6 linked regions of the Kluyveromyces lactis genome follow. The protein of the gene in region 1 purifies or fractionates together with the protein of each later gene. This does not show direct contact. Links are inferred from orthologs where the notes say so. Each region holds a gene or a part of one and is shown in the gene's direction. Other genes may lie near its edges.

Evidence for each region.
Region 2: the proteins of NSP1 (region 1) and MLP2 purify together in Saccharomyces cerevisiae (affinity purification with mass spectrometry; 3 studies listed by BioGRID). This does not show direct contact. The link is inferred for Kluyveromyces lactis from reciprocal best matches to the Saccharomyces cerevisiae genes NSP1 and MLP1.
Region 3: the proteins of NSP1 (region 1) and NUP133 purify together in Saccharomyces cerevisiae (affinity purification with mass spectrometry; 3 studies listed by BioGRID). This does not show direct contact. The link is inferred for Kluyveromyces lactis from reciprocal best matches to the Saccharomyces cerevisiae genes NSP1 and NUP133.
Region 4: the proteins of NSP1 (region 1) and MEX67 purify together in Saccharomyces cerevisiae (affinity purification with mass spectrometry; 3 studies listed by BioGRID, with this or other methods). This does not show direct contact. The link is inferred for Kluyveromyces lactis from reciprocal best matches to the Saccharomyces cerevisiae genes NSP1 and MEX67.
Region 5: the proteins of NSP1 (region 1) and NUP1 purify together in Saccharomyces cerevisiae (affinity purification with mass spectrometry; 3 studies listed by BioGRID, with this or other methods). This does not show direct contact. The link is inferred for Kluyveromyces lactis from reciprocal best matches to the Saccharomyces cerevisiae genes NSP1 and NUP1.
Region 6: the proteins of NSP1 (region 1) and NUP116 purify together in Saccharomyces cerevisiae (affinity purification with mass spectrometry; 7 studies listed by BioGRID, with this or other methods). This does not show direct contact. The link is inferred for Kluyveromyces lactis from reciprocal best matches to the Saccharomyces cerevisiae genes NSP1 and NUP116.

The regions. Positions count from the first base shown.
Region 1 is NC_006041.1:1,040,191-1,045,666, reverse strand, and holds NSP1 (FG-nucleoporin NSP1), read left to right. Parts: upstream 1-2,052; coding exon 2,053-4,395; downstream 4,396-5,476. Other genes in the region: MHP1 (Mhp1p), read left to right, coding at 1-1,076; NUP192 (Nup192p), read right to left, coding at 4,501-5,476.
Region 2 is NC_006037.1:52,043-56,168, reverse strand, and holds the end of MLP2 (Mlp2p), read left to right. Parts: coding exon 1-2,865; downstream 2,866-4,126. Other genes in the region: MCM10 (Mcm10p), read left to right, coding at 3,088-3,175, 3,259-4,126. UniProt on the Saccharomyces cerevisiae protein: Together with the closely related MLP2, involved in the structural and functional organization of perinuclear chromatin. Together with MLP2, associates with the nuclear pore complex and form filamentous structures along the nuclear periphery.
Region 3 is NC_006037.1:702,373-707,826, reverse strand, and holds NUP133 (Nup133p), read left to right. Parts: upstream 1-1,973; coding exon 1,974-5,294; downstream 5,295-5,454. Other genes in the region: MTD1 (methylenetetrahydrofolate dehydrogenase (NAD(+))), read left to right, coding at 1-366; rRNA-binding ribosome biosynthesis protein RPF2, read right to left, coding at 504-1,538; DAD2 (Dad2p), read right to left, coding at 5,383-5,454. UniProt on the Saccharomyces cerevisiae protein: Functions as a component of the nuclear pore complex (NPC).
Region 4 is NC_006039.1:845,158-850,072, reverse strand, and holds MEX67 (Mex67p), read left to right. Parts: upstream 1-2,004; coding exon 2,005-3,771; downstream 3,772-4,915. Other genes in the region: protein-transporting protein SEC63, read right to left, coding at 1-1,432; OSW1 (Osw1p), read left to right, coding at 4,094-4,744; DAP1 (Dap1p), read right to left, coding at 4,855-4,915. UniProt on the Saccharomyces cerevisiae protein: Involved in the export of mRNA from the nucleus to the cytoplasm.
Region 5 is NC_006039.1:1,147,511-1,152,964, forward strand, and holds NUP1 (FG-nucleoporin NUP1), read left to right. Parts: upstream 1-2,200; coding exon 2,201-4,924; downstream 4,925-5,454. Other genes in the region: alpha-1,2-mannosyltransferase KTR1, read right to left, coding at 1-855; KLLA0_C13497g (uncharacterized protein), read left to right, coding at 5,407-5,454. UniProt on the Saccharomyces cerevisiae protein: Functions as a component of the nuclear pore complex (NPC).
Region 6 is NC_006042.1:2,466,120-2,470,046, forward strand, and holds the start of NUP116 (FG-nucleoporin NUP116), read left to right. Parts: upstream 1-1,127; coding exon 1,128-3,927. Other genes in the region: KLLA0_F26686g (uncharacterized protein), read left to right, coding at 132-371. UniProt on the Saccharomyces cerevisiae protein: Functions as a component of the nuclear pore complex (NPC).

The DNA.
Region 1 (5,476 bases):
ATTGTGATAGTTTGAAATTTTTAGATTTATCCAATAACCCAGGATTATTCCCATACGGTATGCGTACGTTGACAGCTATTTTACCAGTGTTTGTGTCTTTGCTTCGTTTGCACTTAGATAACAACAACCTATCCACAACGGCAGTAATGCAGTTTGCCGAAGTTTTGCCGATGTGTCAACGCATAAATTATATTTCTCTATTGGGAACCAATTTGAATATAATATCTGCCAGTGCATTGGCTGCTGCTGTAAAAAATTCCAAGACTATAATCACAATGGATATTGACTACGCCCATGTCCCTGATAGAATCAAAGAAAAAATCTCTGTCTATAGTATGAGAAATACACAGAGAGAGCTCGAACAAATTAATAAATCTGGTGGCGATGATGGACATGAAAAATTGAAGTCACTACAAGAAGAGCTTGGAAGGTTACTAACAGAAGATTCTTCAACCAGGAGTGATTATGATACATTAGTGTCAAACTTCTTGGAACGTATTCAAACTGTACGTGCGAAACTTCATGCTGCAATTGAAGAACTATTCAAATTGAGACTCAATGGAGAGCTAAGTACGGAGGGTAAAGAAACTCTTATTAAATTTTGCTTTATTGACGCAAGTTTTGAAAAGGGCTTGAAATTACTAGCAAAGAAGAGTTTGCGAAGCGCAGGTTACCATTCCCATAATGCAGCCACGTCAAATGACCGTGAAAGCCCATCACCATTAACTTCACAATCTGCGACAGCTTTAACTTATCCGAAGAAACTAAACACCTTACTTTCTTCATCGAAATATGCTTCCAGTGGCCACAGCGCTTTGTTACCCTTCCATCAACCATCTGTAGAATCATATGAACCTGCAGATGACGAGGTGGCACTAACATACACGAGCGGTGAAGTGCAGAACGAAGCCAAAGAACAGTTGAAAGAAGAAGGTGATGTTTTGAGGAAAAGTAGAGGATTAATGAATGAACTACAAAGTACCGCTAACAAACGTGGCCAAGAGCTTAACACAGATATTTTGAGAAGGGTTGGCGAAAGATTTGATAGTGAACATATATCAAAGACGCCCTTTTGAAACAAGATATATCTAATATTATGTCACTCCTTGATGAATTGAACAATCAAGGAATTCCCATTGACGAAATTTTCAAGAAGAAATCAGATGACAAAAAACCAACTGCTTCTAGTTCCTCTGTCGACCAAAGTTCTAATACGGTCGTAGGAGTTGAAGCCAATCTGCAGGAGAAGAAAGGTGATGGGTATTCTGATAGCGATTATAGTAGCGAGGAAGAAGTACAGCAAGAAGAACAAATGGACCGCGCGTTTGACGAAGTTTTAGACACTCTAGCACATTCAAGAAAGACCACGCTTGCGAAATCAAATAATTCGCCAGGCTCAACATAGCAGCACCCAATGCACATAGCCCCCAAAGAGAATACAAATTACATTCCGTCTAAGAAACGTGGAGAATTGTAGACATGAAAACCACAAACTAATTCGAGGGGATACGTCTGCCCCTACTTTCACCTCTCTTTCTTTTTTTTTCAAAAGGAACTTTAACCTAATGCATTGAGATATACGAGATGATCAAAAACACAAATATGATGCCTTACTCTTGGATCAAATTACCCAGAAAGTTGGTAATGTGATTTATAGTTCCTAGGAAAACTCTATTCCATTGTTAACCGTTATTGATATTGGAGGAGAGAATCGAAAGACATAAAAGCCATCAAGCTCGGTTTACTCCGATTGAATTCTGTACATTATATAAATCTTACTATACATTCATTATAATATTAGGAAATAAACTTTAAAACAGAGCTTACTCTGGCTAGTCAAGCTTTATATGTCCATCCGTATATGCATCATATCAAGGTTACCCTCACTCAAATTTTTTGGACCTTGTTTCTTTCTAAAATCGAAAAGATCATAAAACTCGATATGATTAAACAATAAACTGAAAATTGTATACATAATGGCAAACGAATTGGTTTGAATAGGCATAGCTAGTCTATGAAGTGGACAATTACAAGGGTTCGTTAATCAACAAAATGAGTTTCAATTCAAACCCCACTTTCAACTTTTCTACAGCGGGAAATGCTTCCGGTGGGAACAGCAATTCCAATTTGTTTGCCGGTACTGGATCAGGACAAAATGTATCTACCACAGGAAACACCAGTACCAGCACAGGTGCTTCCTCTCTCTTTGGCAATACTGGAGGCCAGACCAGTGGCAATGCTTTTGCAAGTTTCGGTTCAGCTGCTGGTAGCTCTAATACGCAGCAGGGAAATGCATTTTCAGCGTTTGGAGCGACCACTACCAATGACAATGGACAAACAAAACCTGCATTCGGAGGCTTTGGTATGAATACACAACAGGGCGCTAATGCAGTCAAGCCAGCAGCTTCGCCATTTTCGTTTGGTGCCTCTAATACAACTGCTGGTACAGGCGATGCACCAAAACCTGCTTTTGGAGGTTTTAACGCAAACGATGCTGCCAGCAATGCGAACAATAACAACAGCAACACCACGAATACAAGCGCAGCAAAACCAACATTTGGTGGCTTTGGCTCCGTAGGAGCAGCAGGAAGTAGCTCTTCGCTATTTGGCGGGTCGCAACAGGCTAAAGACACTCAACCCAAGAGTGGATTCTCATTTGGTACACAACCTGAACAAAAGACCGATGCAAAGCCCGCTTTTAATTTCGGACTATCTGGAAATAATGCAATGACTACAACTCCGAGTGTCAATGCCTCTAAACCAATATTTGGTGCCAATACAACTTCAACATCAAGCTTCACAACTTCCGCTAAACCAACTGAAACCTCGAAACCTAATACAAATGCCACATCACTCTTTGGTGGGAACCACACTGATACAAAACCAGCCGGTGCTACTTCAGGGTTCAACTTTGGTTCTGCCGCTGGAGATGCCAACAAGCCAAGTTTTTCGCTAAGTCTGGGATCAAAACCTGAAGAAAAAACCTCAGGCGCAAAGACAGGATTCTCATTTGGTTCAAAAACGGAGGACAAGCCTACAGATGCTAAACCAGCATTTTCTTTCGGAGCAAAGCCCTCTGGGACAGAACAAGCCGGTAAGCCAGCCTTCAGCTTTGGATCAAAACCAGTGGCTCCTGAACCCTCTAAACCTTCCAATGACAAACCAGAAAGTAAACAGGGTTTTGCATTCAATGTTAAATCTGGCAACAGTAAAGAGGAGACCAAAAGTGGATTTTCTCTGGGATCTAAAACAGAAGAATCTAAACCTGCCTCTAAAATGGGATTTTCTCTGGGATCCTTGAACACGAATGCTGACGATACCGAATCCAAGCCTGGGTTTTCTTTTGGCAATAAGACTGAAGATACCAAGTCAGCTTCCAAAGCGGCCTTTTCGTTCGATAACAAGACTGACGGGTCAAAGTCAGAATCAAAACCATCTTTTGCTTTAGGGTCCAACACCTCAGAAAATAAAGCCGATCCTAGCCCCGCATTCTCGTTAGGAGCGAAACCTACCGATAGCAAATCATCTGATACTAAGGACGATTCGAAGCCTGCATTTAGCTTTGGAAGTAAACCTGCCGATAGCAGAACATCTGACACTAAGGTTGATTCAAAGCCTGCTTTTAGCTTTGGAAGTAAACCTGCGGAAACTACCGCTTCCAAAGACACGAAAACTGAAGCTCCTTCCTTTTCTTTGGGCGGTCTGAAACCGGATACTACCAAAGAAACAACTGAAAGTGCTAAGCAGGAAACTACAACTGGAACAAAGACATCTACTAAACCCGTTACTATCGAACCTGTTTCCCTCGACAATAAGACTTTGGATGACTTAGTATCAAAATGGACCTCCCAACTTTCTGGAACCGCAGATCACTTTGAGAGTTACGCCAAGAAGATAAATCAGTGGGACAAAGTATTAATGCAAGGTGGTGAACAAATAAGTCGGTTGTACTCTGATACATTAACTGCTGAACAATCTCAAAATAGAGTAGATCAGTCTCTCTCATATATCGAAAGACAACAATCTGAACTTGAGTATTTCCTCGATTCTTATGAACAAAAGGCTGAAGATCTGCTATCTGAGGTGCTTTCTTCGAGCAACAATAACAACACAAGCAAAACGAATGATCAAAAGAGACAACAAGCCTATCATACAGTGGAAATGCTTGACGACAACCTAAACTCTTTGTCACTAAATCTTTCCTCGTTGATTACCGAAATAAACGAAGTTAGCGAAACGTTCAATAAGGCTACAAACTCAAGCTTCCCTAATAAGGAAGAAAACGCTCAGTTGATCCAGTTATTAAATTCTCACCTAGATGCTCTTAAGTCGCTAGAGAACAACTCTCAGCAACTTGAAGGAAAACTCAAGACGTTGACGAAGTCTCAGAAATGATTTTTTTTTTTGACCTTGAGGTTAATACTATGATAATCTATATATTGAAACCTATGTACTTTGCTGGTTCAATCTAATAATCATGTAACCATATTGCCCTGATCGTTATTGCGCTCCAGAATAATTTGTCAGTGTACAAACCAAAATGATGAGTTGAACAAATTCTTCAAGTCCTTCTGGTTTGGTTTCAACTCCATTCTTTTCAAGTAATGCATCTCTCTTTAATGCGCCTTGTACCAATTGCTTGAAATGAGATATCAATTTTCTTGCCTCACGGAAAACGTATTGGCTTGATGTTCCTGAGCTGAGTAACACTGACGCAATCAACTGGAAGATGGGTATAATGATTTCAAAGAGCGAAATACCATTTTCGTATGATGTAATCTGGAGAGGGTTATCTAAAGTTAGATTCGCACGGATTTTTCCGGAGGTTGCAGCACCAACAGATTCAAACATCAATTCTAGTCCAAGATCTGGATCCATTTTCAAGAAGTTACACGACGTAATAGTTTCAAACAATTTCTTTTGAACTAAAGCATGAGAACCAGCCTTTGTTTGAGCCAATTTTGTCAGGAAGTGTACCACACATTTGAAAATTGTGAGTTCATACAATAATGTGTAAGAGGTCACCTTCTCATTTTGAGTCTCTAATACCTCATCTGTGTTTTTGATAGATCTTATAATCAATAATAACATATTACTTTTGACAAGTGATTCCAAAACAAAATTTACTTTGTTCAAACTTGCTAATTGGTTTAAAGCATCCAAAAACAATATTCCTGTTACTCTATTAGCACCTTGCCCCATAATAGCATCATTGCAAACAGTCTCTACTAATGATTCATTGGAAAACTTCAGCCATTGAAGGACCTCCTTTGAAAGGATTTCATCCTTTAGGACACAGTTCAAATACTTTGTACCAAGCACATAAAAATCAGATCTTAGAGTCGCCGATGGTGTCGATATACAGTTTATGCATGTCTTGAAAAGCGTATGCAACCTACTGTCTAGGGTTTTTTCATTATCGATGGCAACTCTATCCTCATGGTATAATTCATAAAGGAAGACAGCAAGGGAAACT
Region 2 (4,126 bases), on another chromosome or scaffold:
ACTCAGAATTCTTATAAGGAAAAGCTTAGAAAATTGGAAATTGAGTTGTCTGGTTCACTCGAACGCCTTGAAGAAATTGAAAAAAACACCACAGGAATTGCTAGCAATAAAGAGCATCAATATAATTGGTTTCAAGAAAAGATTGATAAGTTAACTAGTGAGGCAGCTCAACAGAAAACGACCTTAGAAGAAAAAGAAGCTCAACTTCAGAAAATGCAATCCACTATCAATGAACAATCCGCAAAACTCAAGGAGGCCGAGGCACGGGCACAATCATATACGATGTTAAGTAATGTCGATGATGCTCAAAACCTAGTTGAGACTTTGAGACAGGAATTGGAAAAGGTTAACTTGCAACTTTCTGATTCATATTCACAAATAGAGCATCATAAAACTCTGGCGGAACAGTCCGTGCAATCCGTTAATGAAGTAAGCCAGGCCTTTGAAGAGGCCCAGAAGGAATCTCAGAAGACAATAATCACTCTAGAAAACGAAAGAAATCAATTACAGAGTACTGTCAATATTCTCAACGATCAGGTGAAAGACCTGAATAACGAAATTTTCCATCAAAAATCAGAATACCAAACTGAGAGGAACGCAACAATGGAAGAAATCAGTAAGCTTCAGATGGTGAAAGAATCTGTGGATCGAACTAAGGCTGACTACGAAGAAAAAATTGCAATGATTCAGAAAGATCTAGAAATGCAAACGCAATATGCAAATGAGAGTCAACGGAGCTACGAACTTGAATTGCAAAAGCATGCAGATGTCTCTAAAACTATTACGTCCCTAAGAACTGAGGCGCAAAGCTATAAATCTGATCTAGAGACACTTAAAACCCAATCCCAACTGGCTATGGAGAACTTGAAGAATAGCGAAAAATTATGGAATGAACAGAAGACTGAGTACGAAGATAAACTGTCCGTTTTGGAGCAACGAGTCCAAGAACTATCAACCCAAAATAAGCTCCTGTACGACCAAATTGAATTGCTAAACAAGACTGAAGATCGTGACAACTCTCATGATTCAAGTGACTTGTTAATCAGCTTGCGCCGTGAAAGAGACATGCTAGAAACTAAACTAGAAGTTGCATTGAGCGAGCAAACGGTTCTAAAACAACGCCTTGATATAGCAAAATCAGAAATTGAAGATTTGAATACTCAATTATCTCAAGTTAAGAATAGTTCCAGTGAAAGCGCTCATTTGCTAGAGCAGCAAGAAAATATAATGAAAGAACTTGACCAACTGCACTTGTTAAGAGAAAGTAACGTTACACTAAGATCTGAAAATAGTTCATTCAAGAAAGAATGTGACAATCTAAAGTCGCAATTGCAAGAATGTAATGATAGGCTGGCGCCACTACAGTCGTCCATTTCCTCTTTGCAAAATGGTATCAAAATTAAAGAACAGGAACTCATTCAATCGAAAGAAGAAGCAGAACGGTGGAAAAGCCGTTCTCAAGATATCTTACATAAATATGAACGTATTGATCCTGAAGAACATGGTAAACTAAAGGAGGAAATTAACGATGTTAAAAATGAACTGCAAACTACCAAGGATACTTTGCAAAGCGTCATTGCCGAGAAAGATGACTGGGAATCGAAGTTCCAAAGAATTAGGCTTCAAGCACGTGATAGATTGAATGCCTCCAAGGAAAAGGAACAATCTTTATCATCAGAAATAAACCAAATCAATGAAGCTAAATCTCAAGTGGAGGCCGATTTAGGAAAATGTAAGACCGCTTGCAAAGAGTTAGAAGAAAGATTACAAGTGGTAACGCAAGAAGCAGAAACAAAGGAACAGACTTTTAACTCTCAATTATCTAAATTGCAGGAAGATCTACATTCTATTCAGGTTCAAATGGAAAATGCTTCCAAGACCGAACAGAATAATGCAGATTCAGATGAAAAAATAAAATCGTTGACTGAGACTGTGGAAATGTTAAATAGTAAAATACAGGAGCTTGAAGCCGAAGCCTCCAACGCTCAAAAAATAGTAGCTGAACATCATACGCCAGTTATCAACGAAGACACGAAGTCAATAGTGGATAATTTGAAAACAGAATTTGAAGCTGAAAAAGAACAATTAATAAAAGATAAAGAAAAAGAATTGAGGAGCAAGTTTGAGGCAGAAAAAGAATCTGCTTGGAATTCCAGAGAGGAAGAGCTCCGGAAACAGTTTGAAGAAAGAGAAAAGAGAATTCGTGAAGAGTGCGAAAAGACTACTGTCCAGTCTCCTTCGCAGCCTACCTTGGATATAGACATCGATGCTTTGAAGAATGAATGGGAAAAAGAATATGAGAAGCAGACTCTGGAAAAAATTAAATTAGCAGAAGAAGCCCTCAAGAAACGGATCAGGTTACCTACTCAACAAAAGATTGATAAAATAGTTGAGGCAAGAAAAGCTGTTTTAGAAGAGTCCTTTGAAGAAAAGGTAAACGAAAAGGCCCAAAAATTGGCAGGAGAGATCGGAAATGATGCCATTACTCTAGAAAAGCATCGTGCAGAATTGAATGCACTTAAGGATTCCATGCGTAAGCAATTTGAAGCAGATTTGGCAGAAATAAAACAAAAATCTTTCGAAGAAGGGAAACAGCAAGTTTCCTTGAAATTGAAATTTTTGGAAAGCAAGATCAGGAATTTAGAACAACAAAAGTCCACAATTAAACCTGTAGAGAATGACACTTCTAATATGAGTGCAGCATTCCAGGCCCCTGTATTTGGCTCTCATTCAACATTCACTAGTCCCTTCTCAACGTCAGAAATTTCTCCTAATAAGAGACCCATAGACGACACCGCAACAGAACAGCCTGAGAAACGTCACAAAGAGCCTGAAAGTGATACTGAGGATGGTCAGGAAGCCTGATTCTCCAGACGATTTTATGGCTGTTAATATTACCGAAGTTCTATTTAATTTTTTTCTATTATGTATCATTATTTGACCATTCGTTTTCAACATGTAAAAAATACTAGTATTACTTTCCACAGATATTCAAACGAGAAAACAAAATAATGACATCCCACAAGTAAAGAATGAACGAGAATAGTTACAGAAGCTATCGAGTATAGGTAACAGTGAAGATGCATCATGTCATATGATCTAACTGACCCGAGAGAAATTACGGCGTTCGACCCGTACGAGGAATTATCTGATGATGAATCTGAAATCGAAAGAGGTATGTTCTAATAATAATGGTTACCGAGATCAATGACATTAGAATATCCTACTAACATATTATAACCAATCATTAAATCAAAGTGAAACGAAGAATTGTTGAAATTGACACTGAGAAACGAGATTTAACTAACCGGCTGTTGGAACTAGAGAAGAAGAGAAACCTCAAAGACCCTAATTTCGATTCTATCGACGTTCCAGAGTCTCCTAAGAAATCAGATAATGCTACAAAAGGAATAGAGGATATCAAACATATTGCGCCAGTAGCAGATATAGAGGAAGCTACATTTAATGTTAATGAGGATTATGTAAGGGAAAAGGTCAAAAAGTTGGGTACCACTTCTTACTTTACTGAAAAACTTCGCTCCATCAATACAAATGAACATGAAGCGATTAAAAGGAAGAAAGAATTATTGGCACATCGAGTTTACACATTCAATGGCGACATGTTCGATGAATATGAACCAATTACTGTTGATGAAAAAGATGATTTGAGTGGTCTGGTTATAGACAGAAGGTATGTACCGTTGGCCGTACTTAGGAAACATACTAAAAACATAAAAGTGCTTCGACTTCCAAAGCTCTTCAGTAAGGTGAGAGCCCCTAAGTTCTCTGAACCTGATTATCCCAATTGGTTGGTATTGGGTATCATCTCAAAGAAAACTGAACCAAGAATGACAAATTCTGTGAAACCGGTGAAATTCTTCAGCCTAACCATAAGTGATTTCCAATTTGAACTGAATGTTATTTTCTTTGGGAAAAGTATAGTTGAAAAGTATTACAAACTAAGATTAGGTGATTTGATTGCTATACTTAACCCTGAAATAATGCCTTCCAAGAAACTGGAAGCGGGAGCAAGCCCTAGTTACGCTACATTTTCGTTAAAAGTTAGTAAAGACACCAATAATATACTGGAACTAGGTCACAGTAAGGAATTCGGATTGTGCCAATT
Region 3 (5,454 bases), on another chromosome or scaffold:
TTTTCTGTTGATATCAACAACATTCAGAAGTTCACACGTGGGCAAGGTTTGAAGTTTACGAAACATCATGTAGAAGACTTGGGTGCATATTCAGAGGAGCTATTGAAGGAATGCTGTAAAGATGCTGACGTGATAATAACAGGTGTTCCTGGTGAAAAATACAAGTTCCCTACTGATTACATTAAAGAAGGCGCTATCTGTATCAATTTTTCCTCAGAGAAGAATTTCGATGAGTCTGTGAAATCAAAAGCATCGCTATACGTTCCAAGCACCGGTAAAGTAACCATCTCCATGCTGTTGAGAAACATGCTCAGATTAGTAGAGAACAAACAAAAATTGCAAAACCGTTCAGCCTCCACGAATTAAGGCAGTGGATCGATCAAAAAAAAAAAAAGAATTATACTCTATTTCACCTTTATCTCATATATATGCGAATGTGTATGTATATGATTAGATATGTATATGAATTATATTATACAGTCAGTTTTTATTGTCAATGGAATTTATTTCTTTTGCTTCTTAGCAGGTGGAGCATCGATATCTGTTGCCGTTACGAATTCTTCACCGTAAGTGTCATCGACATTTTCTTGATCAAGATCGCCTTCAACTTCTTCTAGGTACTCTTCCATATCCGAATCCACTTGATCGTATTTAGCCTTCAAACCCTTCATCTTTCTAGTTTGCAATTGACCCAAATCTTGCTTACCCACATGCACTCTACCGATCTTATCACCCATAGTATCGATCTCAACGTTCTTAGCAACTCTGACTTCCAATTGTCTAGGTTTCTTATGGGCTTCCTTGACCATTTCTGGAGATGGAGTGTGAATTCTTCCGATCTTGAAATCGAATCTTGGACCAATCTCTTCCAATTCCACTCTAGGTAACTTCTTACCACCTTGTTCGGACTTGTAAGTCTTCAAGTGATACACTCTGAATAGAACATTTGGTAATGGTTCACCGTCTTGGAAATCACCTTGGACAGTGATAGAAATGATATGTTGCAAACCTGCAACATCTTGCAAAGTGGTATTCTGACCTCTGAAAAAGTCAAGGAACAATGATTTGATATGCTGGTAAACTGGATGTTGTTCAAAGGCTGCACCTTGGAAACTGAACATTGGCTTTAACCCAACGTTAAAAGTTTGTTTTCTGAAATCAGACAAAAGTTTATAGTTTTCTGCAATCTGCAACTCGATAATATCATAGATCTTATACCCAAACGTACGAATAAAAGTCAAATTGTTTCTTCTCTTCTTAGAATGTGTGCTCAACACCATAAGCGATGTATCATTCTTTTCAGATAAAAACTCTAATGGTTCATAATCTTCAAAAGGTCTGATGTTGTTCTTCTTGGAGAATCTCTTGATATCAGGCTTCTTCAACGCACTCAAATCAACCATTGAATCATGCAACAACTTGGTAGAAGTTTGACCAGGAATGAATAAAGCTTGCTTTACATTCTCAACCAATTTTGCTTCTTTTTTATCCAAAGCCCTTTTAGCACGGGCATTCTTAGGCTTTACTGTTCTGATCATCCTGGTGTTTACGGTGTCTTGATACAAATCACAACAATTACACCTTATAGGATAGAAATCTGAGCCAAAAGATGAACTATGTAGACTGTAACTTAGCTCATCGCATTTAGCTCATCGCATCGATTTGTTCCAGTTTAAAGATTTAATTTTCCAAGTTACTTGATAAGTGAAAAGAAACTATTCCAAAGTCACGTGGCGGAAAATGTTTCACGTGACATCACTTATGACGATTTCTTTGGCGACAATGAAAACAGAAACATTGACCAAGATTTTAAACAATGAGCATCAGAGAGTCTATTTACCTTTATAATTACAGCAATGCAAGGTCAAGCTAGGTTCGGCTAACAAGGTAGTGGATCAATTGAGATTAGAATTTCAAAGTTTTACATTTGGTGATTCTTTTGGCTTTTTTTTTCAGTGTCAAGATAGTACAAGATGAAGCAATTGTTTCAGCTCAGGAAAGAGCTTAGTGTACCAGCAGCAGCACCAGAGGATTCAGTAATCTCTGCTGAGGAAACGACAACTGGTTCTGCTGTCACCAATGTACAATTTTCGAATGAACAAGTTATCACAGAGAATGGGAAGTATAAGGTATCGAAGTTAGCGCCAAGTTTAAGTTTTTTGCCCAGTAATGTGGAATTATGTTGTAGCGTTGATGCAAAATCTGGGTACGCCTTATGCTGCGATACTGATAATGTTTACGTTTGGCCATTTTTATCTTCTGAAACACACCCTAGTTTTGTAAGGATTCCATTACATGACGAGGAATATGAATCATGGTCCCGTCCTCCATTATGTTGCTTTACGTGGCCTAGTGTGCTCGAACGTGACTTGAAATCAAGCCCTGGCTTATTTTTAGTGAACAGTAGATCCGGTGACATTCAATTCTATGAAGATGTTGATACTGTGAGTCAAGTGGCAAGTTTCTTGACGCAAACCAAACGTCATAAATCAGTTTTAAAACTACGTGACGGTGAATATGTAGAGAATTTGATTAATGCAGAACCAGCTGGAATATTACTTTCGACAAATTACGGGCGTGTTGAGTTTTGTACTATAAGAGATGCTAACGGGAAACCTTTTGTATCGCTAAAACAAACCATAATAAAATGTCAAGTCGGAATCTTTTCATCCATGTCCAAATCAAAGAGAGTGGTATCTCTCAAATTGGGCGAAATCAGCGGTAAAGGAGAAAGAATAGTTTCTATTTTAACCCAGGGCGGGCGATATCAGGTGTGGAACCTTTCATCTGTTGGGAATTGTTACAAAAAGATCGATTTAAATGTACAGTCTGAAATTTCACAGGCAGTCTTAGAGCATTTCCCCTTGGCAACATCTACACTGAAACTACTCGATTGTCATCCTTTATCAGGAGACTCGGATGCATACTTGTTCTTGAGTTTCTTAGCGGAAAGTAACGAAACGCACTATTTACTATCAACCATCATTGTGGATGAAGATACTAACAGTTTCGCTATCTTCTCTACTTACAGATTAAACACATACACGCGACCATTATCAGATGAATTTGCCCCAAGACTTATAGTCCCAACTGCATACACCAAGGAACATTTACCGATAACGTCTGTTTACACTTTATTCTCTGATGCTGCTGTCCTAACTCAAACAAGTTCCAAATTGGACTCTAATTATCCATTTAAAAGGAAATGGGAGGACATTATACGGTTTAACAAAGATATGAAAGTTCTTGGGTACGATTGTAATTCAAGTTCCTTATACATTACTGATGGAAGAACATGTGCGTTAAAGTTGGAGACTTTTGAAAAATACGAAAACTCTGACTTCCAAGAAATTAGATTCATAAAGTCTCATGTGGATCAATACGTCTATTTTGGAGGACAATCAACGGATTCATTACTAGACTTCAACTTACCTGACAATCTAGATCTACAACCACAAGAAATTGAAACAGATATTCAAATGTCCAGTGATGAGATTAAATATGCATTATCAAACCACATACCGCCTGTTGCTAACAACCCCATGAAACACTTAAAAATAAGAAGCGAACTTTTTGAAAGACTTCTCACATTTGTTGCTCATAATTTTTTGGATCAAACATCTTCCCAATTCAAACTGGACTTGATTTCTGATTTTGAAATGATAAAATGTTTGGAAAGCTTGTACTCTTTACTACCGCAACAACCAACATCTATTTCACAAGCTTGGAAGACAGTACTATCAGAAAGTTCCTATCAATCGGATTCTGATTTTATCTCAGACGGCATTGTTAAGATTCCAGAATTATTGGGCGCCTTTTTGAAGCATTTGAAAGACCTAATGAAATCCACAAATGAAACTATGTTAAAATCTCAGATCGCAAAGCTTATAAATCAACTAGTTTATCATTCCATATTAGAAGAATGTGAAAACAGCTACAGGTATGGACTTTTCCAGATGAGCCCAGATGATGTATCAAAAAATATCCCTTGGTTCACAACAAATAGCATAATAGAAAATCTTAATGACATCTTCTTCTTGTTAAGGCATGCCTCTGAAGATCTTGCCGTTGTGTCAGAATTTGTAGAGGAATTACTGCTATTGGTTAAGTCTCTATTTTATATGGTCAGGCAAATAACCATGTGGATTGATGCAAATGCCATTACTGATTCTAGTTATAAACAGTTTTTCGAAGAAAATCATTTACTTTGGAATAGGGTCCTTAGGGATGTTAACAGGTCTCAGGATTCAATTCTAATCACAGATTTTTACCAAGACTTTGAAGGCTTAGTTGAAACTTTGCAATCTCTGCCAAAAATTACCGCATTCTCTCTATACGATGAATTCTTCCAGAAATACGGATACGACTTTGCAAAATCCTTATTTTCCTACTATATCAAGGAAGGGCTATGGGATGATCTTTACGAATCGTTTGGTGAAACCCATTCAGAATATTTGGACCAGTTCTTAGGAGAATGTCCCGAGTATGGCAAAGTTAAATGGATTGGAAACATATATTGCCATAAATACGACGAAGCAACTACAACTTTGTTGAGTATTTCTACTGGAACTCAATCGCTGGGTCAAGATTTGAAACAAAGACAGGCACAATTGAGTATTGCCAAATTAACAGCTCTTGCCGCGGAAGTTCAAGATCTTGAAAAGCTAAACGAAATTCAAACCGAATTAGATCTCATCGATGGGCAAATTCTTCTATCCCAAGAACTACAAGAATCAACTCTCAACCCACTATTCAAAGACTTTACCACCTATCGAACTTTGTTCAAATATTTGAGCGATGCTGTGAAGAGGAGAGAATCTCTCTCAGTGCCGCATATGATAGAATTATTCACACTATTAAATCAAGATACTTCTTATGGATTTGCATTGAGTATCCTTGCCATTGATCACACGTTACCCACTGAAGTAAAAAAGTACTGCGAGTACCAGATCTGGAGAAGGTGTCTCTTATCCGATGAAAATGCGGTTAGACAAACTTTAAGGGTCTTTTTCAAGCAGCAGTTCTACCATCAAAGTATCGAACTTCCAATCATCGACAACTTGGCCAATGAGAAATTGATCACTGACTCATACCTGGATGGCATGTACCATGGACTAACCGATCTTAATAAATTAGCTAGCGACGTCAAACGAGAGGTTGCTCTTTTCGCTAATTCGAATTTGGACGTTACGATGTTACAATCCATCATTGGAGAAATCAACGAGGAAACCGGTAACCAATGTGTCATCAATTACGCAACTAACACAATCGAGACAAGTCCCACATCTTTCTAATTCAATAATAGAAGAAGGTGCCACACCAATTAATTGTACATAGTATAAAACCTGTTTATACACCATATGTATATATTCAATAAAAACGTTATTCAACGTCATCTGCAACTTTCACCCGTACCAAAGTTTCCGGAAGCGGAGGTAATTGATCCTGTTGCCG
Region 4 (4,915 bases), on another chromosome or scaffold:
TTTCGAAGGGATCCTGTTCCAATAACAATGGATCATCGCCAGCTATTTTTTCAGCTGGGATCAATGAGTTTGGGAAAAGTTTGTGTCTTGGAGAACGAACCAACACTTTAACTTGAATGTGAGGAGTAGAACCTGGTTCTGCGGTATTTAGAGAAGATCCACGAACTTTGAAGGAGCCCTTGACGAGCTTCAACTTAGGAATACGAGACGCTACTTTCAAAGTTTCATTGAGTGCTGTTTCATCTTTTATTCCTAGCATCTTACCTATCTTATCATCTGGGTATGTGAATAATTTACCCAAGGCACAAATATCATCTGTAGTTGAATCCAAGAAATGCTCTTTATCCACGTTTGGTAATTGAAAGATTTGAGAGTGTGGCGATAACGGAGTTGCCTGTACCACTGTCTTATACGTGTCTAACGCCATCAATGCAACTTCAGTGTTCCTAAAAGTGGATGCGATTTCTATCAATTGATGGAAAAGTAACGATGATTTGGTAAGCACATAGTTCCTTGCATATTCGTTTTCAGTCTTTTCACGGTTAACATGGGAATGGATAATGTTAGCGATGTCCACGGAAGACAATTCTGGGAATTTCAATTGGAATTCTTTTGCTTCAGAGATCCATTTAATGATTAAGTCTGGCACAACAACATAAGATGGTTTGAAGTTGAACATTTTGTCAACGAAGTGAGATGCTGTTTCAGAATGAATACCGTGTTTTGTGTACTCTTGCGAAGTGCTCCACCATTTAGAAACTACCATGGGTAACACAAACGCAAGTAGAATGAAATATGCAAAAACAACAAATGGGGAAGTACCTCCTTCCACCAAGAACTTGGGCAAAGCGATACCGTGAGAAGTAGATTGAGGACCATCTGGATGACCATACTTTCTATAATTTTCCTTCGTAATTTCATCAGTTAAAGCCTTATAAGCCTTGTTAATCATCACGAACTGTTCCTCCATAGCCGTTCTTTCAATCTCATTTAGGTCCTTGGAAAGCTTATCGGGATGGAATTTGACAGATAATTTCCTGTATGCAGACTTGATCTCTTTATCGGTAGACGAAAGCGTCACACCAAGTAACTCATATGGATCAAAAGCCGCTGCTGCAATCTGATAGATAGCATCGTTGGAACGAATATGATAAATCAACATCGAAATGAGCACCCAACCAACGGTAATGAAGTAAATTCCCTTCTTGGACCTTTTCTTCTTATTAGCAAGTCTATATTTCCGAACTTCTTCTGAAGTATATTTTTCGTGCAATTGACTCCATTCTGATGAAGAACTCTTATCGCTGGAGTCCCCAACAATCAATCTATACAGCTCAATCAATGTTACCGGTGTAACAGCCACAAATAACACCGTGAGTACGAAAAATGGCCATGTGGTGCTTGCCTCATCGTAATCATAATTCTGCGGCATGGCGTCGTTGTCTGTTCGTCTGCTTGTCTGTTGTAGAACCAAAAGACTGCCAATAAATTAAGCCGCTACAATAAAACACACAGCAGGCAGCAATCAAAAAAAGTGAACCACAGTGTACTATTAAACAAAAAAGCCTTCAAACTGCAAACAATTATTCCTCTGATCTAGAAAAGTAGTTAACAGTTAACTTATTTCGATTTTAATATGCCAGTCTGTATTTTCCAAAAACCTTTGGGTTTTTTTCCTTCTGTTTGAAACACTATACGTATTCAATACGGCAGAGCTTAGAAGAACAAATAGAAGAGAAAGACCAAAAAAAAAAAAGATATTTATACGTCACGTGCTCGTAATATATCACATGACCTTGAATTTTCTGTTTCGATTTGGTCGATCATCTCTTTCTACTAAACTGAAGAATAAAATTAAAAAAAAAAATGCTAAAAACCTAGAAATAATCAAAAAATGTGCTAGTCTCATTGGTAATTGAGATGGGAATAGAGATTGAAAGATGAGGCTCACCGGGTTAACCGATTTGGTTGAGAAAAGTCTTGTGATATAGCGTTACTAGAGTGATGCAAGTTAGTGGTTTTGGTAACGTGAATCAGATTGGTGCTTTGGCACAGCAAAACCAATTGGATAACTTAGTCAGCGTTAGCATTCGTGGATGGACTAACGCTACTCAACAGGATTTGTTGAATTTCATTTCGAGAAAGACCAGGATCTCAGTGAGAAACTCTGTGGTTCAAGGGGACACTATAGTTGGTTATGTGACACCGCAGGAGGCAGATCAATTGGTGAAATTTAGTGGGTACCGGTTTGCAGGCAATTCATTGAAGATTCACAAGGCAGCCGGTGGGAACACAAACCCTAATACGAATGATACGATAACCGTTCTTCGTAATGTGCTTTTGAGAAGATATAATGTGCAAACGAGGATGTTGGATCTTGGTAATTTGTTCAATGATCCGGAGTTGGTGCAACGCGGTATGGCTCCGAAAAATGTTAATACGCAGTCCAAGATGTTCCCGGCTATGATGAAAGTGGCTTCAAAGGAGCCTAGCATGGTTGTTGAATCGATCAACCTATCTGATAATAATTTGAGAGACGTCAATGGTGTTACCACGTTGGCACAGACTTTCCCTCATTTGAAAAACCTATGCATCGCCAATAATAGTATTAGTCGATTCCATTCTCTTGAAGTTTGGAAGAATAAATTCAAAGAGTTGAGGGAGCTTCTGATGATGAATAATCCAATTACATCGGATCGTTTATATCGTACAGAAATGTTAAGGATATTCCCCAAATTGGTGATTCTAGATAACGTTGTCGTTCGTGACGAGCAGAAACTACTGTCTATCTATAGCTTACCGGTACAACAAACCCAGTTCTTTTTCGAAGATAATGGATTGGCATCATCGTCAACAGATTTTATTACCAACTTCTTGAACTTGTGGGATTCGAATAGAATGCAATTGATGGGTTTGTACACTCCACAGTCTCAATTTTCCTTAAGTGTTGATTCTTCCGTTCCAGCTGCTACTGTACCTAATGCTCAAACGACTCCTACATTCGGTCATTACTTACCATTTTCAAGAAACATTTCCAAGATATCTAGCGACAAGACCATCCAAGAACGGTTACGTATAGGGCCCGAAGCAATTTATGAAGTGTTCGGATCTCTCCCTATGACAAAACATTTTTTGCAAGAACAACCTGATGCTTACTCTGTGCAAGCCTGGACCTTCCCACAAGTTCAAGGGTTTGTTATCACTCTTCATGGCCATTTCGATGAAACTGCCAAACCTGAAATTGACAAGAGCAAAACATCACAAGGATCATCTGCCTCTAGAGGAAGGAGATACAACCATGGATTTACGTCTACGCCGAACATCAAACTTTCACAGAAATCCTTCGATAGAACAATGGTCTTAGTTCCAAGTCCAAATGGTAGTGTCATCATTGCATCTGATTCGTTGACGATAAGGCCATTCTGTGATAGCGCTTGGTCTAAACCACCTTCTCCACCACATCTCCAAGCTCAATCTGTGCAACATCAGCCACAAATGAACGTGCCCCTCTCACAAACTCCGCCAAATACATCATCCATTCCTGGCCAAATCCCGGGAGTTCTTGGATCGACACCTTTGCAATTCTCACCGGAAGTGCAAGCAAAATTGTCACCTGTACAATTAGAACTACTTCAGAAGTTACACCTTGAAACAAAGCTTAACGCTGAGTACACTTATATGCTTGCCGAGCAAAGTCTTTGGAACTATGATAATGCTATCCAAGGATTTAGAAACAGTGCAAACAATCTACCCAGAGAGGCATTCATCTAAAAGTATTGAGCTAATCATGTGCGCTTCTTTAAAAAAGAACATCTTAATTCATTCAGTATAATATATAGTTGCATCTCACACAAATAAATTAAACTAAGTATATCCATCTATTTATATCAGTTGGATTCAAGGTGACTTGACTCTGTGACTATTTTTTATCATATATCCTGTTTGTCACAAAGTGTACGTCAATAAAAAAAGGGCCTAACATTCAGAACATTATACTAGCCAATGAACTCTTAAGCAAATTACAAATTGTGATTATAAGCTCACTACAGTTTTGCTGAAAACTCACTATTCCAAGGCAATATAACTACATTAAATGAGATCGATACCAGAACCTCGCCAATCAAAATATAATCGATTTAGAAGGTTATTTAATAAGGTGCATAATTGTGTCACTTTGAAAAGATTGAAAAGGCGATGGAACCTACACAAGTTGAAGAAGAGCTCAAGGAATACAAATCAGAGATCTGCAATCCCAATAGACCGTATTGCTAATCTTCCTACTGGTATGTCGCATAAATCGAGTAACATGAAACCATTGCTTCTAGTATCGTTTAATAAAGGTCAGGAGAATTCGCCAAAGGTGAGAATTCTAGAAACCAATGGACATTTGAGATCTTGGATCAGCGGTAGAAAATTCTCAATGAAACGAATAGTGAATAACGCATCTGTAGAGAGAGATCCTTATCAAAATTCGAGGCACACAGTTAGGCAAGAAGTAGCAAAACACGCAGATTTAAAGGTCAATTATTCTGAACAAGGAATCGTGAAAACTGTCGACATACCGTGCTGTTACACAGAAGATCCGAAGTTGATTAATATAGGACAAGAGCACACTTTTAGAATACGTGACTATCCTTCTTTGAATCCTAGTCAGCGAACGACGAGAAATGGTTTCAGGAGTAGAAATCAGCCTGAACCTGTTTCGCGCTTCTTCTTTGAGGAAGTTGCAGAGACCATGTCCTAATCCATCATATACAGACATATAAATTATCTGGACTTGTAGTACACTAGAAAACAGAAGCATAAATAAATACAAAAATAGTCCTTAATCTCACCAAGGCCTGAACAAATATTCTAATTGTTTACACCGGGTTCAGCTTCCAAACTTCCTATGCATGGGTACTTCTTTTGGAAA
Region 5 (5,454 bases), on another chromosome or scaffold:
GTTATAAGAAGCACCGTTATCATCTGAGATGAACTTCATCATGTTGTTCTTGTGCAAATATTGTGGGTTTGCCTGGTTAAATTCGAAAACGGTCTTCCACAACGTTTCTATGGTAGCTTCGTATTCTCTCAAAGAGATGGTGAAACCGTACTTCTTATCGTTATCCTTCATGAATTTGAAAATGTCGTAATCGATATCACAGTAGATCTTAACACCTGGTTCAACACGCCAGTAGAACTCGTATTCATCCATCAATTTGTGTCTATAGAAGAATCCTGATTCATAACGACACATATGTCTGTATGATTCCGAATGACCATAGATAATCTTCTTGGCTTTCATATCAGCTCTGACTTGAGCAGCCTTTTCCTGGTCGATCCAGCTTGGATAGGACCAGTGTTCGACAGGGATTAGGCCAAACTTGACGTTACCACTAATCATAGAAGCAACTGTATTCTTGAAGTCATCTGTGAACTCTTCATCGTTCAAAAACACCCAATCGTATTGGAACTTCTTGTTGAATCTATCTTCAACAGACCTAATAGATGACAATAATTCTGTCAAATCACCGTTACGTGCCAAAGTCACAAAAGTTGCCTTAACCTTGGAGCCAGTGTACTTACCGGAATCGACGGTGGTGTACTTCAACCCTGTGTTTGGGTCTACAACAACACGGGAATCACCCTTCATGCGAACGGTCTCGTACTGATTTGCATTCTGCGAAGATGACACACCAGTGCTGTATCCACCATTGTATGAAGCACCTTGGAACAACAAATAGATGGTAATTGCAGCAACGATAATTATCCCAAGGAGACGCGCAGAACGCTCCTTATTGATTCTGGTCTCGCTCATGGCTTATTGAAAGATTACTGAACAGCTTTCTCCCAACCTATTTCCAATTGAAATAAAGAAAAATAGCGGATTTGTTAAGAAGAAATCAACAACGACCAATGTGGTTTCAGGATATTCACGTCAAACGATCAAATAACTTAGTAAAGCACCTAAGGAAACAAAAAACGATACCGAGTTGTTAAAGGTAAAATGCCTTCGTTTGTAATTTTTCAGTTTTCTTCAATTGAACAGTGGATATACGCTATTCTAATATCACATTTTTCTCGAGGCAACCCAGATTCGATCAGGGAATATTGAAAACTACAAAAAAAAAAAAAAAACTATATGATACCATTAGCAGAGCTCAGCCATAAAAATAGCACATTTATGACATTTATGACATTTATCGATCTCCCACTTCATGACTCGTAGTCGAAGGCATCGTGCGATGTTCCACTGCCCATTTTCTTCTAGTGTAATGATTCTTTTCTTTTCGGATTTAGACTTATGTGTTCGTTTCAGTCTTCTGTCCCTTCAAGGTGTTTTTTGGGATTTTCCTTGACCGATATGGCCTCTTCGTTTCGGAATCAAGCGGTCTGTTCTGTGGTGTCGAAGCCTCATAACCACATTCGGTGTTGCACTTTTTACTTGATTTCCTCCATGACGCGTTCTTCAAGGTTTCCCCAAACTAAAAAAAAAAAAACAAGATGGGACGAATGTATGACAGGATGGGGAGAAATCGGTCACGTGATAATCTGAATTTCACAAGAATAGAACACTTGTACTGTTAAGCATGGCATTGATGCACACTACGTTCTATCCTGTGCGTTCTTGCAGTTTAACGTTAAGTTTTTCTTTACTTATATATCAATTTGTTCTTTTCGATCCCTCATGTCACTTTCAGGCCTTATGTATAGAAAAATGAACAAAACTTGAGTTCTATATAAAACTTGAAAGCTAAAATAACGAAAAAGGGTACTTTTGTATTAAGTGGACGGCAAATCTTTAAACTTTCATAATGTAGAATCGTTATAATAAATTTTGGATAATAGTCGAGCCCCATATTGATGTTTTGGAACTAATGCAAATTTATGTCCATCTCCTAGCTAGACTCTCTTATACTGACGCCTTGGTTAGTTTAGGTCAATATGTGTCAAACCGTACAAAGTGATTATAACCCTGTAAGAGGAAAAAAATAACAGCTAGGAATGTTAGGACTTGAAATATCGAATTATCAAATATCGAATAATACCTTTATTAATACGCAAGAAAGTTACAGAAACAGCAGTTTCGAAAGAAATAGGAATCGAAAACTTGAATTGGACTCTGGTTCACTTGCCGCATATCACGGCCACTTTATAGAATAATGTCGGCATCATATCTGGAAAAACCCAAAAGATCGATTTCATCGACTTTGGCATCATTATTTACCAAGCATGACGATACGAATAGCGAAGATCCGAATATAACAAGGTCGCACAATGAAGATATCAGTGATTCAGGATCAGTGGTCATCAAGAGGCAAAAACGTGGCTTCGACGGTTACGAGGAATTGGTTTGGAATAACGAAAAAATCACCGATCACCCGTTAAATCACAATGGCATTGATGATATCAATTATGATGAAAGACCGAATATTTTCTTGTATGAAGGGGATTCTGAACATGGTGTAAGGCCTCCAGTACTAACGATAGAACCGAAACAAAGATTGCGGCTACTAAGGATGCAGCAACTGCGCCGTGCTCGGCAATTCCCACTTTTACAAAGACAATTACAATCAGCAGAGAACGGCCTATATCGCTTAACAGACGGCAAAAATGCTACTATAAAGAATTTACTCGTCAACAAACTACAAAGTGACAAGAAAAATCATAGGGTTTCCGATAACCCAAAGTCCAAGAAGTGGAAAGCTGATTTTCAATACGATTTATCAGAATATGATATCTTGAAAAACGACAAAAAGACGAAACCAGTATCTGCCTCAATGGGGAATTTGGAATCTCCTAAACTACCACATCCATTGCTAAAAAGGAGTACCTCTTCAAAGAAACATGTCAATACTTTTGATCAAACAGGAGTGCCTAGTGGATCTGGCTTAACTGATGTTCAAAGCAGGTTATTACAAGGAAAGACATTGCAAAAAAATCCAAAGATAGCACAAGAAGTAGTTGCACCAACACTATCATTGAAACCTATCGTCAAGGAAAAAATATCAGAAGATAAAGTTTTAAACGCTAACGGCCCAAGTGTTGGATTTGACTTTATGAATAGAGACAGTACTTCTATTTTCCCAGGTAGCACAGATACACCTACCAAACCAACAGTATCCAAAAATATATCTTTTGGAAATACCAAATTGGATTTATTCAACAATGATAAACAGAAATTAACGGCCCCTTCTCAGGATTCTGAAGAGTTACCAAGAAAAAAGAAAGAATTTAGTTCTACTGAGGACACTGTTAAACCATTTCCCTTCACAAGTTCTAAGTCGCTGGAAACATCAACTGAACCATCGAAACCTGCTTTTTCTTTTGATGCGGTAAAAAAAAACAACACAGCTACAGCCAATGGAGGCACAAAAATCTCAGATGGTGCTCCTTCTTTCACCTTTGGTGATTTATCAAAAACCAAGAAAGAGACCAAAAAAGCTGAAACATCCAAAAACCCCTTTGAGAAATCCGCCCCCGAACCTGTTGAAAATCTGGCTAAAGACGGCCTCCCTAAGTTCAGCTTCACTGGTGCGGATACAACTGGGATATCAAATATACCTACATTTAGTTTTGGAAAATCTTCAGAAGGCAAAGAGATAGCTAAACCCGCCCCTTCATTCAGTTTTGGCAGCCAAAAAGATGCAGGCGAACCAACTAATGTCAGTGAAATGTCAAAACCTATGTTTAGCTTCAACAAAGGAAAATCATCTACTCCAGATCTGACCCCATTGAGTACCTCTCAATCAACTAATACACCTAAACCACTATTTCAGTTTGGTTCCAGTGGTAGTACTGAACCTGCCGCAAAGAGACCAGATGGTACAAAAACTGAAGCACCAGTGCTGCCATCATTCAGCTTTGGTGGTAAACCTGTAGGAAATGATTCGTCAAAAAATATTGAGAAGGAAAAAGCTAAACCTTTCAGTTTTGGGCAAGCTTCGAATACATCAGCATTTTCTCTCAACCAACAGCCTTCAGCAGACAACGCGACAGAGAAGCAGGAAGCCAAAAATGCCGTCAGTACTGCTGTAAAACCTGCATTCTCCTTTGGTAGCACCCCAGCAGCCCTACCTTCTGATACAACCCCAAAAGAAGCTGCTGCACCATCATTTTCGTTCGGGACCACAAAGAAACCTGTTCAAGGTGATATGAGTTCGAAACCTGCATTCTCTTTTGGAAGTTCCTCTGCCATCCAGCAGCCCTCAATTGAAAAAGCTTCCAATGCAATTCCTTCGTTTGCAAGTCAGAACACCAGTGGCCAGCCTGTCAGCGGACTCAAATTTGATTTGACAGGGTTTAAAAATAATAATAGACAAACTACTCCGACTCCGTTTTCAGATTCATCAAATGTTGGATCTGCTCGTGGAAGCAACCCTCCTGTCCCATTCTCATTTGATAATGTCGTTCAACCTGGGAATAAGATAAGTGTAACGCAGCCTACTCAAACTACATTTACTTTTGCACAACAAAATCAAAAACCATTTACTTTTACTGGAAGTGGGCCAAGCACTACCAACAGTTCACCTGCATTTGGAACCAGTTCCAATCAGCCTAATGTACCTTTTTCATTCGGCGGAAGCTCAGCTTCTTCCACTCCCCAGGTACCAGCATTGGGTACCGGTTTCGGTAATTCTATGCAGACAAACACATTTAATCCTTCAGCCGCTGCCAATTTTAATTTTGGTGGTCAACCATCTCAAAGTCCTTCTGTAGTATTTGGATCCCAAACCCCGCAACAGAATCCATCGTCCATATTTTCCGCTGGTCAGCAGAATCCAGCGGACATATTCAATGCGCAGGCTTCAACTCCTCAAGGAGGGGCACCATTTCCACCGCAGCGCAAAATTGCTATGCCCGGTAGGAGAAGAAGAAGAGGCTAATAAAGGAAAACAAAGGCTTTGCATCTCAATTGTAACAATTATTGCATGATATCATTCCTTCCGACATCTTTACATTTATGTGTAAGAATGTATCTACTAATGTCATCTTAAAGTTTAGGTAAAAAATTTTGTTTCGAGAGAGTACTCGAATGGAGCTTCGTTAACGGATGAGATGCTCGTAAAATCTTTAAGTGGAACTACATCAACTTATAAATCAAGTCTAACATACTCAATAGCAAGAAATTGAGTGATTTCGCTTGTGGTATCCAAATTGAACCGGCTATTACTTGAAACATAGGCATTTCTGGAAAGTATTGATCAAATTTAGTTACATTGAAACTGCTATGCGTAGCGCAGTTCATGACAGCTTTGCAGGAATTCAATTGAATTATGAGTCACGTGAATATTCGTTTCGCCTAGTCAACTTCATAATACCGTAATGTTGTGAAAATCAACAAAAGCGCATTCTTTAAATATGTAACATGAAAGTGTCAATCACTAAATTAATATCTTCCAGTAAAGTAAAAAAC
Region 6 (3,927 bases), on another chromosome or scaffold:
ATTGATAAGTTAAAAAGTGTAAGAAAGACGTCTCATAATAAGGAGTAACACAGGATACCGACCTCCGAATAGGCTTAACAAGCGCCTACTACAATATACCCATTAGCGTCCCCGTTTGACAATATTCAACAATGTTCACAGACAATTTTGGAAAAGCCAAAGATACGCAGCAGGTTTCCCAGGTGATAGTACAATGCTTCAAAAGTTTAAATTCAGTTCCCAGATCGACTCCAGACCTAGAGCAAGACTATTGTGATTCTGATGAAGAGGAAGATTTGATCGTGGATTTAACGACAGGGTCGTTAAAGCCCAGGAATTTGAAGAATTATCTACTTATGAATGAGGTAATGAATGGCCTAGAGAGCCTATGACGCTATGGTATTAAAGCCAATAAGGGGGTTTCACATCTACTTTATTGTGTCTACCGAAGATTTGCATACCAGAGAGATGCATCTTTTAATGCCTTTACTGCCTGGCTTTATCTCTCATTTTATTTTCATTTCTTTCGACTATATAGAACATATATACTTTTTGGGTAATTTAACAGACGGAATTCATTATATATAACATATTGGAATTAAGTGTTTCAAACAGGGAGCCAACTCAGAATTGCATTAGCAGCTGTTCCCTTGTGCTCAAGTAATTACTGCTACATCACAATCCCCCAAAACTACGTATCACTACGTACGCTATGTCACTTAATACGATTTTAGGTCATCCCTCACCTCTGAAAATTTCTTTATCCTTGAAGTAAACAACTAATTGATGATAAAGAACTAACGTTTTCTAAGTTGATGCAAGCAATGTTTCGGCTTATATGATTTGTCGTATTTGTCTTTCAGTCATACTATCAGCAACTGAGACCAATAAAAGTATTCATACAGTGCGTAAAGTGGGAAATTTTTTTATAGATCGTTAATTGATTAGTGTGTTTCTTCTTTCACAATCAGAGAACAAGGACACTCACTCATCTTTAAATTATTTCTCAGAAAAATACCATTGAACCAAAACGCTACGACTTTGGTATTATCTACTTAGAGATTACTTGTGTCATTGAAGGACATATTATTTTATTCCTAGTCAGCTTTTTCATCAATTGTCACCTCACTTGATTTCCTGACCCACTGATGTTTGGTGCTTCTCGACCGGCATTTGGACAGACGAGTACTTCTCCTTTTGGCCAACAAACTCAGTCAACAACCAATGCGTTCGGTCAACAGCATAGTGGAACCACAAACAATCTGTTTGGATCCAGCTCTGCCAACAACGCGCAATCAGGGTTTGGTGGGTTTGGTACCGGCGGCGCTAATACAAACCCTACGCAAACTATAAATTCCCCATTCGGTATGTCACAACAGCAAAATACAACTACTTCTCCGTTTGGCGGGGCAGCAGCAGGAGCAGCAGCAGGTAATTCATTGTCGAACCCACCATCCCTGTTTGGTGGTAGCCAATCTAGTGGTACAGCGACAGGCGTTCTCTCTTCTGGACCTCCTTCTGGCACTGGAATCAAGCCATTCCAACCTTATACGGAAAAGGATGTGTCAACTGGATATCCATCGGTGTTTCAATCTATTACTTGTATGCCTGAATATAGCCTTTATTCGTTTGAAGAGTTGAGGTTCCAAGATTATCAACAAAATAGGAAATTTAGCACCACTGCTGGAGGTCCGACAGCTTCTGCTATTGCTTCGCCATTCGGTCAACAACAGACAAATGGTACTAACAACACTTTTGGTTTAGGAAATAAAAATACCATCAGTGCAGGTGGCGCAACTCCCTTTGGTCAACAGCCTGCAAATTCACCTTTTGGCCAGCAACAGCCTGTAAATGCATTTTCACAACCTAATAACACTCCCTTTGGCCAACCACAGCAGCAACAGCAAACTGGCATGTTTGGACAACAGCAGAATAATTCTCCATTCGGGCAAAATACTGCTTCAAGTTCTTCTCCATTCGGTTTAAACAAACCGGCTACCTCTGGAGGTCTGTTTGGACAAAACACCACCAATAATAATTCCGCATTTGGTCAAGCCAACAACTCATTATTTGGTCAACAAAACCAACAGCAAAACCCAGGTAACGCATTTGGTCAAAATACTGGTTCAAACACCTTTGGGAGCACTTTCGGCCAAACAAACACCAACAATCAACCGGGTGGTTTGTTTGGACAAAATAACACCACAGCGGCCAATACTGGTGGACTTTTTGGTCAACAAAGTAACGCCAATAACGCATTTGGTCAGAATAATAACACCTCAGGTGGATTATTTGGATCAAAACCAGGTGGAACTACAGGTGGCGGTTTATTCGGTCAGCAAGCACAGAACGGACCCTCTCCTTTCGGTCAACAAAATGCTGCTAATTCTACTCCATTCGGTCAGGTAAACAATACTCAGGCGGGTGGATTGTTTGGACAAAACAACACCAATACTGGCGGAGGTTTATTTGGACAGCAACAACCATCTAACACAAACAGTACAGGATTATTCGGACAACAAAGTAACGCAGCTAGCACTGGCGGTCCTTTCGGACAACAAAATAGCAACTCCATGAATCAACAGGGCGGAGGATTATTTGGTGCGAAGCCAACTACCGGTGGCCTGTTTGGATCAAACAACCAAAGTCAACAAGGTTCAACTGGGTTATTCGGAGCTCAAAATAAAACTGTAATGGGTGGTAGTTCCGCGCTGTTTGGTCAAAATAATCAGCAACAACAATCTGGCGGATTGTTCGGACAAAGTAATCAACCGTCTGCAACGGGGGGGTTATTTGGTAATCAGAACCAACAAACACAGCAACCTAACACCGGTGGTTTATTTGGTCAGCAGAACAACAGTATGGCAAACAACACCGGAGGATTGTTTGGTGCAAAACCAACAGGAACTACTGGTGGATTATTTGGCCAAAGTAGTCAGCAGCAGAATACATCTAGCGGATTGTTTGGTCAAAATAACAACCAGAACAACACAGCAACGGGGGGTCTATTTGGTCAAAACAACCAGCAACAAGGTCAATCATCGGGTAGTCTCTTTGGTGCCAAACCTTCCGGCACTAACGCTTTAGGAGCTACCAACGGCGGGTTATTCGGAGGCAACACACAACAGCAGAATACGGCTACTGGTGGTCTATTTGGTGCCAAACCAGCTGATAGTGCGTCAACATCTGGTGGCCTTTTCGGCACTAAACCAACAGGTGGTTTGAGTAGTACCACTGGAGGTGGATTATTCGGTGGAAAACCTGCCGGAACTGCACCTTTTGGCGCAACAAACACGAACAATGCCTCATCAATTGGTGGCGGAAGTTTATTTTCTGCGAATAAGCCAGCAAATACTGGTTCGACAGGATTATTTGGATCACAAAACAACACTTCTGGTAATGCAAATACAGGTGGTTTATTCTCTTCATCTTCCTTGCAACAAAACCAACAAATGCAAAACCAGCAGCAAGCAGCACAAGCGAACTCCAATCCATATGGTACGGATGAGCTATTCTCCCGTGTTATCTCTATTCCTAATTCCATTACTCAACCAACTAAGCCTAGTGCCACAATGGTTTCTGCAGACTTGAAGAAAAAGAACTCCCTCTCCGCAGCATACAAGCTGCTTCCAAAACCCTTGTTTGACTCTAAAAAGTCGGAACCGAACTCCAGAAAGGTTAAAATTCATCTAAAACTATCAAAACCCAAGGAGGAAGACACTAGTTCGACTGCTCTAACAAGAAAGCCTATGGATTCTTCAATTTTCACTGCATCTACTGATGAGGCTATTTTAACTACCGGAGAACTCCTCTTTAATCCAGACAAAAAGTCTTTCAAAAACCTTATCATCAATCGCCAAAAGATGGAAGAAGATGATACCTCATCTGGTGAATTGAAATTCATAATCTTCAATACTGACGACGGACCACAAAAGAAAATGGAACAGA